2 linked regions of the Sus scrofa genome follow. The protein of the gene in region 1 interacts with the protein of each later gene in a pairwise test. Links are inferred from orthologs where the notes say so. Each region holds a gene or a part of one and is shown on either strand. Other genes may lie near its edges.

Region 1 (7,390 bases):
ATAGGTTCGATCACTGGTCCAGGAACTTAACGGCATACTATGAGCAAGACCAGAAAACCCCAGAGTTCCCATCATGGCGCAGTGAAAACAATCTGATGAGGAACCGTGACGTTGCGGGTTCAATCCCTGGCCTTGCTTAGTGGGTTAAGGATCTGGTGTTGCTGCGGCTGTGGTGTAGGCGGCAGCTGCAGCTCCAATTAGACCTCTAGCCTGGGAACCTCCATATGCCATGTGGCCCTAAAAAGACAAAAGACAAAAAAAAAAAAAAAAAAAAAAAAACACCATAAAACCCCACAAAAAAAAAAACTTGACATTTCTGAAACCCGAGTTCTAACAGACTGACAGCTGGGGTTCAACCTCATGCTATGAGCCCAAGGAAAATGCACCCTAAAACTGTAGGGTTGCAGAGGAAGCAAGCTGGGCCCTGAGGCCCCCATAAGATGACCCAAGAACAGCACCTGCTCAGGTGGGCCTGGTTCCCCCAGCGCCAGGGCTGTGGGTCCCCAGGAGGCTGATGGGCCCCTCCCTTGGGCCCCCCAGGAGCTGAAGCTGAAGGATGAGGAGTGTGAGCGGCTGTCCAAGGTGCGGGAGCAGCTGGAGCAGGAGCTGGAGGAGCTGACGGCCAGCTTATTCGAGGTGCGGGGGCCGAGGGCAGGCTGGGAAACTTGGGGCTGCGGGGTGTCCGTGGTCTCCTCCCCCCTCCCCACTCACAAAGAGCCCACTCTTTGCCCAGGAAGCCCACAAGATGGTGCGAGAAGCCAACATGAAGCAGGCGGCTTCAGAGAAGCAGCTGAAGGAGGCGCGAGGCAAGGTGAGGCCCTGGCCAGCCCTGACCTCCAGTCCCAGTCCCGACCCCTCAAGCGCTGGCCTTCGCTACCCAAGGCCAGCGCTTGCATGGCCTGGAGTGCATGGGGGTGGGGGGCAGCGGATGGGCAGATCGAGGCCAGAAGCAAGGGGCAGAGGTATCTGAGATGACCTCGGGGGTGGGAGCCCAGCTCCTTAGAACTCCGGTTGTGTCTCTCCTGCACCATAGAGACCTTTTTGGGGACTTTCTGGGGCCAGGAGGATCCTGCGACCCTTGTAATTTCTTTTCCTCCTTGCCATACCCCCCTTTCCAGAGCAGAAGCCTCAGTCTGGCTGTGTGAGCCTGGGCAAGTTGCCTTACCTCTCGGAGCCCATCTGCCCATCTGCAAAACGGGCAGGCTGGGCTGTTCCTGGTTTCTGGGGGTCCCTCAGCCACTGGCTTCCCTGGGGCGCCCTGGCTTCCCGGGCGACCTCAGCCAGGCCATGGCTCGTCTCCGAGCCTCAGTTTCCCTCTCAGCAAAATGGGTATCTCAACCCCCCCACCTCAAAGGCTGTTCCAAGGGTAACAAGTGGGGTTAGGTGCAGGGCGGGCTGCCCTGAGCTGGCATTGGCAGCTGGTGGCAGCACCAGCCTTGGTCTAACCTTGATGGCTGTCTCGTCCCGGCCAGATCGACATGCTGCAGGCAGAGGTGACAGCCTTGAAGACACTGGTCATCACGTCCACACCAGCCTCTCCCAACCGCGAGCTCCACCCGCAGCTGCTCAGCTCCACCAAGGCTGGACCCCGCAAGGGTCACTTGCGCCATAAGAGCACCAGCAGCGCCCTCTGCCCCGCCGTGTGCCCGGCTGCAGGACACGCCCTCACCCCCGACAAGGAAGGCAAAGAGGTGAGGGACAGCGGGAACTATAAAAGGAGACAGTGCCACTGTCAGCCAGGCAGCAGTGCCCGCTGGGGACCCGGCTTGGCCCCCGCTGTGTGACCAGGAGCCTGTCCTACCCTCCCTGGGCCTCTGTGTCCTCTGGCTGTGACAAGCACTGAGCAGGTTCCTTGTCATATGAGATGCTTGGCCCTCAGGAGGGTCCATGGGGTACCTGGTCCAGGCAGGACAGTGGGCTGTGATGCCCTTGGCCATGGGTTCTTGAGCAAGAAAAGTCCCCTGTTGGCACATCAGTCTCCTCCTATGAGCGGGGCCTCCTGAGACATGGGTGCTGCACCCAGTGAACGCCCATGGGGGCTGTGATGGGATTCAGCTTCCTGGGTCTCTTCTGAGCTCTAAGCTTCCGACTGGGACACTAACGTCACCTTCCTCTGTCTGTCTCTGTGCACCTGTCTGTCTGTCTGCCCTGCCGGCCCAGCCCGGGCTGCCCCCACTTCTCTCCCTGCTCCTCTGCGTGGTCCCCAGCAAGGCGGTCCACCTCACCTACGAGCCGGCCTGGCAGCTCCCGCCTGGGGAGCTGCCCGTGGGCCCCACCTCTGCTACCTCTCTCTCCTTTTCCCGACAGGTAATGGCTCCAGAGAGGGGCCGCCCCCTCCGCCCCCTCCCAGCCTCTCGCTCTGCATGTGCCCAGTGGCGGCCACTGCGTCGCCTCCCAGAGTGGCCTGTGTGTGTTCCCTTCTGTGTGCCCGTCGCTGCGTGTACCTGTGGGTCCCTGCGTGCATCTGTGGGTCCCTCCAGTGTCACTCTTCAACTCCCTGTCCTCAAGGAGGCAGTGAGGGGGCTTCAGGAGGAGGCCCCGGGGCCCACGTCTGTCATCTCTAGAGCCAAGAAACTGAAAAACGCACCCAGAAGTGAAACTTTTTGAGTTCTAAATTCTTTGGTGTAAAGGGAAGAGAAAGTTCCTTTTTGGGACGTGACTCTCCCTGCATGGCCACAGGGGACAGGCCTGCTGGCCTGCTGGGGCCTGCCCCGCAGCCTCCCTGGCTCCCCACTCCTTGGGCTCTCTGCCTGTCTCTGCCGTGCTGGCCCCCAGCACCCTGACCTCTCCGCCCGGCTCACCCTCTCCCCAGGTGGATGCCACCCTGTTTGCAGAGTTCCAGGCTTGGAGGGAATCACCCACCCTGGACAAGACCTGCCCGTTCCTGGAACGGGTGTACCGGGAGGACGTGGGCCCCTGCTTGGACTTCACCATGCAGGAGGTGAGGAGGGCAGAGGGCGGCCAGAAGGTCGGAGGGGATGGGGGAGGCAAGGAGGGGGGGTCCCAGCCCCTCAGCCCCTCAGCCGGAGGCCAGCCCCTCACCGCCCCACCCGCCGCCCTGCTCTGCCGCAGCTCTCGGCCCTGGTCCGGGCTGCTGTGGAGGACAACACGCTCACCATCGAGCCCGTGGCTTCGCAGACACTGCCCGCGGTGAAGGTGGCCGCCGTCGAGTGTGGCCGAGCCAAGTAAGCTTAGCGCCCTGCACCCTTCCTGCCCCCTGGGAAAGCCTTGGGTTCCGCCAAGGGGTGGCCAGGGAGCAATGAACCTCAGGCCTGCCTGCTGGGTCCTGGAATGGGACCCGAGGGTGGGAGAGGCCCTTGACCAGAGAGGGACAGTGGCTGCCCCCATGCAGGGCAAGGAGGCATCCTGGGCAGAAACTGCTGCCTTTAGTCGTGCAGCAGGGGTCTCCCTGCTCCTGGCTGGCCTGACTTACATCCTTCTCCCACTCCTCTCTCCCACAGTGGGTTCCGGGCCCCGATTGACACGTAAGTGATGTCAGTTATTGGTTCCACCTCTGGCGCTGGCATCTTGTCCTCTTTCTGCTTCTGCTGCTGGCACTGAGCAAGGCTAGAGGCAGAGCAAACCTGCCTGCATGGAGCAAGGGTAGGGACTAGGGCTTGTGGCCCCATGGAGGGAGCCTTGTCACAAGGGGACATTTGAGCCGGGTTTTGAAGGACGAGTAGAAGTTTGCCAAGCAGGGAAGGGCCTTTCAGGCAGAGGCAAATGAATGAGTGAAAGTATGACAAGCAGTCTTAATGGAAACACTGCTGGATGGGTGAGCAGAGCGGTGGTGTGGGTGGGCACAGAGTTGGGGCTCAGGCCACAGAGGGTTTTGGAGCCAGTGTGTGTAAAGGGCCTCAAATGCGGTTTGGGCTTTAACCCACTAGGGTGGCACTTCGAAAATCATTGATAAATAAATATTCCCTGAAAAGAGGGTCCCCTGGTCGAATCAAGGAGTCACAGTGAACCTAGAGGCAGCAAAGGCTCTGATAAGTCCTGCAGCCAAGGAGCCCTATTTAACCTAATTTTATTTGGGAATCTCCGTAACTATTTCCTAGGCAGTAGGAAAGCAGCATGGAAAGATAATGGGCTAGATGTGAGTTTTTGGAGGAGCCCTTGGCTATAATATGGAGAAGAAGGGTAGAGACTCCTGCTTAGATGGGGGAAGGGGGGACCTGGTCTGAGAGGGTCCATTTTTAGGGGCTATAGAGGGTGGAGCTTTGGTACACCTGGCATGGGGTTGGCCAAGCTCCTATCCAACGTGAGTGAAGTGAAAGGTTTAGAATGGGATCCAGCTTGGCTTAAAGGCCTCTCCCAGGGACTTCTGGGACTTCCTCCTCCTTGGTCTGGCTCCAGGCTTTTGGGGAAGCTGGGACCAGGGGAGAGGATGCCAGCCCCCACGGTGAGGTCTTTTTGCCCCCCCACCCCAGCCTCCTTCTGGCTGCTGCATCTTCCCTGCATGAGCCGGGTGGGCGAGCCCCAGCCAGCCCCTACAGCCCCCTCTGCTTTCCCCTAGTACATGTGCCCTGAGTGGGCTGGTCTGTGCCTGTCGCCACCGAATCCGGCTTGGGGACTCCGAGAGCCACTACTACATCTCGCCATCCTCCCGGGCCAGGGTGAGTCATCCAGTAGCAGTGTTACCGGGTTCCTAGGGCTGCTGGCCTGGGACTCTGGGCCCCAGGCCTGAGAGCACAGCCTCGATCTATAGAGAGACAGGCCCAGAGAGGGGCAGAGAGTGACTTGGGCCACAGCCCAGCCAGGTGTATTCATCTGATCACTATTGAGGTATAACAAATTATCATAACCTTAGTGGCACCCTTTATCTCCCGTCTCCCTGGGTCGGGAGTCTTGGCATAACTCAGATGGGTCCTCTGCTCAGGGTCTCCCGGGCTGCTGTCAGGGTGTCAGGGGCTGCATCCTTTCTGGAGATCAGAGTCTGCCTCGGAGCTCACCTGCCTGTTGGCAGAAGTTGGTTCCTTGCGGTTGAAGGACTGAGGTAGCCACTTTCTTGCTTGTTGAAAAGTAATCACGGGAGTGACAGCCATCACCTCTGTCATTTGATGTAACCTAATCAAGGGAGTGACACTAGTGTTCAGGTGAACCCCAACCTGAGGCAAGAGGGGTTCTATACCCCAGAGGCCAGTCAGTCGTTGGCTGAGGTCTGCAGGGGGAGGGGGTGCAGGGGGGCACCTATGAGCCATTAGCTGCCAACACTCTGCCATGGGGAGATGGGGCCCCAGCCTGGGGAAGAGGCTTGGGCAGAGCACCAAAGCACTGGTATCCTCAGTGCCCTGCAAAGGACCTGGCGCAGAGCAGGCCTCAGGCCAGGCTGGGGACTTCAGGCATGAGGGTTCAGGACAGCCAGAAGAGTAGCTTCTGATCCCCTCATCTTTCCTGGCATTACAAGTGACACCTGATGAGTCCTGGCTGGCCCGGCCTCCAGCATCCAGAGCAAGCCGCCCTTTGGGGGAGTGTGGATTCCAGGCACTCTGCCGGGTTTCACTTTCCAGCTCCGCTGCTTATTAGCTCCATGACCTCCTGCAGTTGTCAGGTCGTTCTTGGAGCCTCTGTTCTCCCCACGTGTAGAATGGGAATGATTAGGCATGTCTGCCTCATCTGATACATGTACTTAATTATCATATGCTTAGTTAGTTAGCACTACCTTTTCATTTTTTTTCTTAGGGCCACCCCCGTGGCATATGGAGGGTCCCAGGCTAGGGGTCGAATCGGAGCTACAGCTGCTGGCTTACACCACAGCCACAGCAACGCCGGATCCTTAACCCACTGTGCGAGGCCAGGGATGAACCCACAACCTCATGGTTCCTAGTTAGATTCGTTTCCATTGCGCCACGATGGGAACTCCTAGCTTTTTTTTTTTTTTTTTTTTTAATGTCACCTGGGGGTAAGGAAAGGATTTTGTAATTGATGCTTCAATTATGGTGTTTAATTAGGAGTAGTAATATTGCTGCTATTAATATAACTTTAGAGCCCAGCGTTATCTGACTTAGATGGGACGCGGGGCTTCCTGGGCTGCTCTCCCATCTGCCCTGACCTCTTTTTGGGCGGGGAGTGGAGAGCCGAGGTCACGCTCTGCCTTCTCTGTCCGCAGATCACAGCCGTGTGCAACTTCTTCACCTACATCCGCTACATTCAGCAAGGCCTGGTGCGCCAGGACGGTGAGCGCCCCCTGGTGGCCATCGGGGGTGGCGCGCGGGGGGGCGGGGCGGGGCGGGGCCAACCCCCGGGCTTGGCCGCCCACACCTGGACCCAGTTACTTTTTCCTGCTCAGAAACCTCAGCCTGGGGGCCCGTGGAGCCAGCGTTCTTGTTTCTGGCATTCAAGACCTGACCTGACGGGGCCTATCCTGTAAATCTCCCCCCCCTCTCAGAGTGGCCTCCAGGTGGCCTCTGTCCACCCATTGTCCTTCTGTCCCCATTATGCCAGGCCATGGAATGGGCTCTGAGGGCCCTGGACTGACTGCTGTGCCCTGCCCTCTCTGCTCAGGGTCACTGGAGAGCCCAGGGAGATGGGGTGGGAGAGGATTTGCAGCCTGTCAAGTGTGTGGCACTGTGTACATGCATGTCCGTGACAGGCTGTGGAGGTGACTGTCACCTCCGACCCTTCCAGGTGTTCAGCCCTCAGCAGTTTGCAAGGCCTCAGTGGAACCTCAAAGAGGTCCAGCCACTCGCTGAGGTCATCTGTCCTGGGGGACTGGGGAGCCCTAGGGTGCCCAGTTAGCTGCCCTACCCAAAGCTGGGGGAGGGGCCAGGCCATCTGCTTGAAGTGACCCTGAGTGGTCACCGAGCTGTCCACCCTCTCTGCCTGCAGCGGAGCCCATGTTCTGGGAGATCACGAGGCTGCGGAAGGAGATGTCGCTGGCCAAGCTCGGTTTCTTCCCCCAGGAGGCCTAGGGCCCGGCCCAGGCCTGGAGGGGGGCTCTGAGCTGAAGCCAATGCCCGCGCCAGGACAGACAAACAGATGGGGTCCTGGAGCCGGCCCTGAGCCAGAAGCTGAACAGAGGGACAAATGGCCAGGCCTTGGAGGCAGACCTGAGCCGGCACCAAACGTCCAGCCCAGGACAAGACCTCGAAAGGTGACCTTCTCTCTTCCCTCGTGGCACTACCAGCCACCAGGAGACTTTTAAGAAAGCACCAAAGACCAAAGGGCTTGGAGCCGTGCAAAGAGGCTCAGCCCTTGGAAGGGGACCCTTAGGGCAGTCAGCACCCCCTTGCCGGTCCCTGGAGCGGCTGCCTGCCGGTGCCTCATTGGCTGGATCTCCAGGGTACCCCCTCCACCCCGCCCCCCGGCCAGTTTCCAAGCCCTGGGTACCAGCTCCCCCTGGTGGCCATACTTCAGCCCATTCCCAGGTGGCTTTTCCATCTGAAAGACC
Region 2 (7,813 bases), on another chromosome or scaffold:
GCGGCATATGGACGTTCCCAGGCTAGGGGTCTAATTGGAGCTGTATCTGCCAGCCTATGCCAGAGCCACAGCAACTCGGGATCCGAGCCACGTCTGTAACCTACACCACAGCTCACGGCAACGCCAGATCATTAATCCACTGAGCAAGGGCAGGGATTGAACCTGCAACCTCATGGTTCCTGGTCGGATCATTAACCACTGCGCCACGACGGGAACTCCTACTCTAGTATTTTTTTTTAAGGATCCTAAATATAATCCTTCTTTTGTGGTTTCTCATTTGGTAACTGAATAGAAGCAGCTTTCCTTATCTTGTCATTTCTCAGCATTATCTTGACAGCACTATTCTTAACCAATATCTTTTGTTGTCATTTAAGATATAATCCTTTAATGAGTTGCTAGTCATAATTCTGGCAACCTTGTCCAGGTCTAGTTGAGATAACTATTTTATACTGTATAAAGTATACATGCGTCTTTATTTATATTACTTATTTTTTCAGATAAGAGTGCTCGTTTTTATTTTAAAATGAATTGGTTACATCAAGGGAAAAAAATGACCTATCCTTAACAATGGCATGAAGTTTTGAGGATGGGAGTTCCTGTTGTGGCTCAGTGGATTAAGAACCTGACTAGTATTCATGAGGATGTGGATTCGATCCCTGGCCTTGCTCAGTGGCTTAAGGATCTGTGTTACTGTGAGCTGTGATGTAGGCCGGCAGCTGCAGCTCCCATTTGACCCCTAGCCTGGGGAATCTTCCACATGCCACAAGTACTAAAAAGCCCTAACCCCCCCCTCCCCCCAAAAGATTTGAGGATGGGGAGATAATGAATGTAATCATTAGTTAAAATGATCAAAAGTCAAGAAAACAAAACTTCGAGAGTATTAAAGTTTTTGTGGGATGGAGAAAGTGTTCTTTGATTTATTTATTTTATTTTCCAAAGGCATTGTCATTCTAGATATGTTGCCCTTTGGCTTTAAACTAAATGACTGGCTTCTAAATCGATATATCTGATTGATATGTCTGAGTGCCTATGGAGTAGAAACATTAAACATTTTGGTTTTCCCCATCTTTCCTATTCATTCGTCACCTAGGGCTTTTATACCTCAGTGCTGGTTTGGGGCCAGAAAAGATTCAAAGATTTCCTCAGCAAGACATCCAGCCTTTTGCACTAAGAGGCAGTAGTGAATATACTCTACTAATAGGGTAGACTTTCTTACTGAAACTGAGATTTCACCTCACATTTAGAATAGTGGACCTTGGAAACTAACATGTCAACCAACCATCCTGTAAAATTGGAAATGTGTTATTTTTATGTTACTTTCATGACCATAGCATCTTCTTCCCTGGCATCCAATTAAAGGAAAGTATTTACTATTATCTCTGTGTGCAACAGTGCCTTTGACACCTCTAATTGACTCTGTAATGAAAAATAACAGTACATTTTGCGGCGTTGAGTTACTGCGCCTGGATGATTTCTTGCTGAATCAGCTGATAGAGGAAGCCAGAAAGATAAGCATTTGATAATGTACTGTCTTCTAGACTGTCCAGAGGCCAGCATCTGTCTGCTTTCATGGCAAGGAAGGAATGCATAAGGGACTGTCTGCCCTCTGACCTGAGTGCAGTGAGCTATCAGTTACTTCCCTCCCCAATCCCATCCCCCACCAAATCCTAAATCTTTAGTAAGGCGTGGTGTGTCATTCTTGCATGTTTGATTTTCTAGTCCTGTTTCCTGAACTAATTAGCTAGTAAAAACTAAGAAGAGGCATTAGTAGTCAACAGTGGGAATAAGTATAATATTTTCTAAAATGCAGATTAAAATTTTTACAAAGGGCAAAAAATGTTACCAAGCCCTGATTCTGTAAACCTGTGAACTCATTTGTTGTTTAAATTAAGGTAGATGAGTTCCTGTTGTGGCTCAGCGGTAACGAACCTGATTAGTATCCATGAAGACTTGGGTTCAATCCCTGGCCCTGCTCAGTGGGTTAAGGATCCAGCATTGCCGTGGGCTGTGATATAGGTCAGACAAAGCTCAGATCTGGTGTTACTGTGGTTGTGGTGTAGGCTGGCAGCTGCAGTTCTGATTTGACCCCTAGCCCGAGAACTTCCAAATATGTGAGTGTGGCCCTAAAAAAAAATTCAGGTAGAAATGGTTTAAAACAAGTTAACTGCCTATATCCCCATTGTTTACTCTAGGTGAAAAAGAATCCACTATATTTAGCTAGTAAATAAACTGTCTCCTATAGTAATCATAGGAAATAAATTCATCTAATCAAATCTTTTTCTTTAGATGGTTATGTTGTAAGTGAAAGTGTATATATCCTCCTTGTTTTGGCTTGACTCAGAATTATCAGTCAGCTCACTAGGGCCCTTGTTAAACTTATGGGTGTTTGTTTTTGAAGGGATCTCTAGTTTCCTGCCAATTTGGTACGTGTAACTGTGAAAGGGTCATTGTCTTTGATCTTGGTGGCAGAGTTTATAAAATTGATGCCTCATATGTTAAGTGCGTTTCATTTTGACTAAATATGAGTCCTGAGATCACACCCAGGCTTTGATGAAACTGAGTAGAACATATTCATTCTTTCTCTGCTCACCACTGCTATTATCCATTGTTGCTTTCATGTCTGATATTTTAATATCACAAATTGTTCATTTGGCTTAAGATTGACTTTTCAAGTTTATTACTTTCTAAGGTGGTAAGGTTGGTATAGCATTAATTGTTAATTAATGCATTAGCTGGTCATCAGTGCCTAGTAGACCTATGGTTAAAATCGGCATGTGCAAGACAGGATACTATTATCTGTACTAGGCAAATGATGTGTGGAAGTCACCATGCAGGTAGAAACAGGTTAAAAGGAATAACTAGGTTTTGTCAGTTGGTAACAGGTCAAGAACATGGGCTACTCGGCTCCTCCCCAACCCTCATCTCTATTTAAAAATCAGACTCCTTAAGCAAAAAGTTTTTTGCTTTTAAAACGTGGTATTCTGTGTTTGCCGCATTCATGTGACATTAAGTTCTTTGTCTTTCCAGTTGTCCTTATTGGAGATTCTGGTGTTGGAAAGAGTAATCTCCTGTCTCGATTTACTCGAAATGAGTTTAATCTTGAAAGCAAGAGCACCATTGGCGTAGAGTTTGCAACAAGAAGCATCCAGGTTGATGGGAAAACAATAAAGGCACAGATATGGGACACAGCAGGGCAAGAGCGATACCGAGCTATAACATCAGCGTAAGTTTCATAGTTTTTAACTTATGTGAAATACGCTGCCAAAGTGAATTAGCTCACTTTTGGTATTGGAAAAAGGTACTATTTTGTTTTCTTTTTAAGAATTCCACTATTACAATTTTAAAATTTGTAAGTATGTTTAAAAAATATGTAAATCTCTATACTTAGTCTTTTCTGGCATTCCCTTCTATCTTGTGGTTGTTTGCTAGTAGTTAAATACATGTTTCTGTTTTCAGATACTATCGTGGAGCTGTAGGTGCCTTATTGGTTTATGACATTGCTAAACATCTCACATATGAAAATGTGGAACGATGGCTGAAAGAACTGAGAGATCATGCTGATAGTAACATTGTTATCATGCTTGTGGGCAATAAGAGTGATTTGCGTCATCTCAGGGCAGTTCCTACAGATGAAGCAAGAGCTTTTGCAGGTTAGTGATATGAATTCCACATTACAGTGATTCTGTATTTCTCCCCCTGTGCTATGCAATAGGATCTTGTTGTTTATCCATTCTGTATGTAATTGCATCTTGCTAGTCTCAAACTTCCAATCCACCTGCCTTTGGCAACCTCAAGTCTGTTGTATGTGTTTGTGAGCCTGTTTCTGTTTCATAAATAAGTTAACTTGTGTTATATGTTATTTTTTTGGCTGCATCCATGGCATATGGAAGTTCCTGGACCAGGGATCAAACCCATACCATGGCAGTGACCTGAGCTGCTGCAGTGACAATGCTGGCTTCTTAACCCACTATGCCACAAGGGAACTCCCTCTGTCATATTTTAGATTCTACATATAAGTAATATCATATGGTATTTGTCTTTCTTTTTCTGATTTACCTCACTTAGTATGATTAGGTCTATCCATGTAGCTGTAAATGGTGTTATTTCATTCTTTTTGGCTGAGTAATATTCCATTTTATATGTGTATGTATGTGTACATACACACACATCACATCTTTATCCATTCATTTGTCAGTGGACATTTTGTTATTTCCATGTCTTGGCTGTTGTAAATGGTGCTATTGTGAACATAGAGGTGCATGTGTCTTCACATCACAGTTTTGTTTGAATATATGCCCAGGAGTGGGATTGCTGGATCATATGTAACTCTATTTTTAGATTTTTTTTCTTTTCCCTTTTTCTTTTTATGGCTGCACCTTTGGCATATGGAAGTTCCCGGGGTAGGGGTCAATTTGGAGCTGTAGGTGCAGGCCTGTGCCATAGCCATAGCAGTGCTGGATCCAAGCTGCTTCTGTGACCTACACCATGGCTCATGGCAACACCAGGTCCTTAACCCACTGAGTGGGGCCAGGGATCGAACCCATATCCTCATGGATATCAGATTCTTAACCTGCTGAGCTGCAAGGCTCATACTGTTCTCCATGATGATTGCACTAATTTACATTTCCATCAACAGTATAGGAAAGTTTGCTTTTCTCCACTCCCTCTCCAGCATTTGTTATTTGTAAATTTTAATGATGGCCATTCTGACCAGTGTGAGGTGGTACCTCAGTGTAATTTTGATTTGCATTTCTCTAATAATTAGAGATGTTGAGCATCTTTTCATGTGCCTATTGGCTATTTGTGTGTCTTCTTTGGAGAAATGTCAATTTAGGTCTTCTGTTCATTTTTTGATTGGGTTTTTTTGTTTGTTTTCTGTTATTGAGTTATATGAGTTACAAATTTGTATATTTTGGAAATGAATCCCTTATCAGTCACATCATTTTCAAATATTTTCTCCCATTCCATAGGCTGTCTTTGTTTTTCTTTTTTTCTTTTTTGGCCTGCAGTGTATCCGGGCCAGGGATCAGATCCCAGCTGCAGTTGTGACCCAAGCTGCAGCTGTGGCCAACATGGTCTCCTTTAACCCATTGTGCTGGGTGGGGGATTGAACCTGTGTCCTGGCACTCCAAGATGCTGCTGATTCTGTTGTGCCACAGTGGAAATTCCAGGTTGTCTTTTTGTTTATGGTTTCCTTTGCTGTGCAAAAGCTCTTAAGTCTAAGTCCCATTTGTTTATTTTTGCTTTTATGTATATTGCCTTGGTAGACTGACCTAAGAAAACATTGATATGGTTTATGTCAGAGAATGTTTGGCCTATGTTCTCTTCTAGGAGTTTTATGGTATCATGTCTTATATTTAAGCCTTTAAGCCATTTTGGGTTTATTTTTTGTGTATGGTGTGAGGGTATGTTCTAATGTCTTTGATTTGCATACAGCTGTCCAGCTCTCCCAGCATCACTTGCTGAAGAGACTGTCTTTTCCCCACTGTGTATTCTTACCTCCTTTGTTGAAGATTACGTGACCATACAGTTTATTTCTGGAATCTCTGTTCTAATGATCCATATGTCTGTTTTTGTGCCAATACCATGCTGTTTTGATTACTCTAGCTTTGTAGTATTGTCTGAGGTCTGGGAGATTTATGCCTCCTGCTTTGTTCTTTTTCCTTAGGATTGCTTGGCAATTCTGGGTCTTTTATGGTTCTTTGTAAATTCTAGGATTATTTGTTCTAGTTCTATGAAAAATGTCATGAGTAATTTAAAAGGGATTGCATTAAATCTGTAAATTGCTTTGGGCACTGTGGCTGTTTTAACAGTATTAATTCTTCCAGTCCAAGAGCATGGGATATTTTTCTATAAATCCTTTCAGTTTCCTTTATTAATGTTTTATTGCTCTCAGTGTACACCTCTTTTACCTTTTTGGTCAGGTTTATTCCTAAGTATTTTATTTTATTTTATTTATGTGATTTTAAAAGATATTTTAAAAAAAACCTTTCCCTTTCTAATATTTATTTGCTAGTTTAAAGAAATGTGTGTTATCTTGTATCCTGCTTCATTGCGGAATTGTCAGTTCTAGTAGTTTTCATGTGAAGTTTTTATTTTATTTTATTTTTTTTTGTCTTTTTGCTATTTCTTGGGCCGCTCCCACGGCATATGGAGGTTCCCAGGCTAGGGGTCCAATCGGAGATGCAGCCACCAGCCTACGCCAGAGCCACAGCAACGCGGGATCCGAGCCGCGTCTGCAACCTACACCACAGCTCACGGCAATGCCGGATCCTTAACCCACTGAGCAAGGGCAGGGACCGAACCCGCAACCTCATGGTTCCTAGTCGGATTCGCTAACCACTGCGCCACGACGGGAACTCCCTCATGTGAAGTTTTTAAAGTCTTCTATATATGGTATCTTGTCATCTGCAAAGAATGACAGTTTTACCTCGTCCTTTCCAATTTGAATATCCATTTCTTTTTTCTTGTTTGATTGGCATGGCTAGGACTTCGTGTACTATGTTGAATAGACATGGTGAGAGTGGGCATCCTTGTCTTGTTCCAATCTTTCAGCTTTTCATCATTGAATACTATGTCAGCTGTGGGTTTGTAGTAAGTAGCTTTTTACTATTTTTTTTTTTTTTGCATAATCCTTCTTAGTTTATTTTTTATTACTCAATGAGCTTATTACATTTATAGTTGTACAATGATCATCACAATCGAATTTTATAGGATTTTCCATCCCACCACCCCAGCACATCCCCCAACCCACCGAACTGTCTCCTTTGGAAACCAAAAGTTTTTCAAAGTCTGTGAGTCAGTATCTGTTCTGCAAAGAAGTTCATTCAGCTTTTATTATGTTGAGATATGTTCCTTCTGTACCCACTTCGTTAAGAGTTTTTAATCATGAATGGATATTGAATTGTATCAAATGCTTTTTCTGCATCTTTTGAGATGATCGTGTGTTTTTTGTCTTTTGTTGATGTGGTGGATCACATTGATTGGTTTGTATATGTTGAACTCTCTTTATGACCCTAGGATGAAGCCAACTTGGTTGTGGTGTGTGATGTTTTTTCTGTGTTGTTGGATTTGGTTTGCCAATGTTTTGTTGAGAAATTGTGCATCTATACTCATCAAAGATACTGGTCTGTAAATTTTTATTTTGGTAGTGTCTTTGTCTGGTTTTGCTATCAGGGTGATGGTGGCTTGATAGAATGACTTTGGGAGTCTTCTCTTCAGTCTTTTGGAAGAGTTTGAGAAAAATTGGTATAAGTTCTTCTTTGTATGTTTGATAGAATTCCCCATTGAAGCCATCTGGTCTTGGACTTTTGTTTGGATGGAGGGTTTTTTTTTTTTTTTTTTTTTTTTTTAAGATTACAGATTATATTTCATTTTGAGTAACTGGCCTGCTCACATTGCCTTTTTATTCTTGATTCAGTTTCGTTGGGCTGTATGTTTCTAGAAACTTGTCTATTTCTTCTAGGTTCTCTGATTTATTGGTATATAATTGTTCATAGCATTCTCTTAGGATTTTTTATATATCTGTGGTATCAGTTGTAATTATTCCTCTTTCATTCTTATTTTGTTTGTTTGGGTTCTCTCTCTTCATGGTGAGCCTGGCCAGAAGTTTTTCAATTTTGTTTCCTTTTTCAAAGAACCAACTCTTGGTTTTACAGATTTTTATTTATTTATTTATTTATTTTTAGGGGTTAGTGATCTAACCTGTGCCACACCAGCAACCTGAGCTGTAGCAGTGACAGCACTGGAACCTTAGCCTGCTGAGCCACCAGGGAACTCCATTTTTCTTTTTCTTTCTTTCTCTTTTTTTTTT

What was found.
Region 2: the proteins of RAB3IL1 (region 1) and RAB11A interact in a two-hybrid assay, tested with the Homo sapiens proteins (2 studies listed by BioGRID and IntAct). The two-hybrid records come from large-scale screens. The link is inferred for Sus scrofa from reciprocal best matches to the Homo sapiens genes RAB3IL1 and RAB11A.

Annotation. Positions count from the first base shown.
Region 1 is NC_010444.4:9,592,091-9,599,480, forward strand, and holds part of RAB3IL1 (guanine nucleotide exchange factor for Rab-3A), read left to right. Parts: intron 1-540; coding exon 541-636; intron 637-733; coding exon 734-811; intron 812-1,472; coding exon 1,473-1,691; intron 1,692-2,812; coding exon 2,813-2,941; intron 2,942-3,072; coding exon 3,073-3,185; intron 3,186-3,461; coding exon 3,462-3,485; intron 3,486-4,516; coding exon 4,517-4,616; intron 4,617-6,109; coding exon 6,110-6,176; intron 6,177-6,828; coding exon 6,829-6,911; 3' UTR 6,912-7,390. UniProt on the Homo sapiens protein: Guanine nucleotide exchange factor (GEF) which may activate RAB3A, a GTPase that regulates synaptic vesicle exocytosis. Promotes the exchange of GDP to GTP, converting inactive GDP-bound Rab proteins into their active GTP-bound form.
Region 2 is NC_010443.5:163,862,613-163,870,425, forward strand, and holds part of RAB11A (ras-related protein Rab-11A), read left to right. Parts: intron 1-3,027; coding exon 3,028-3,223; intron 3,224-3,456; coding exon 3,457-3,650; intron 3,651-7,813. UniProt on the Homo sapiens protein: The small GTPases Rab are key regulators of intracellular membrane trafficking, from the formation of transport vesicles to their fusion with membranes.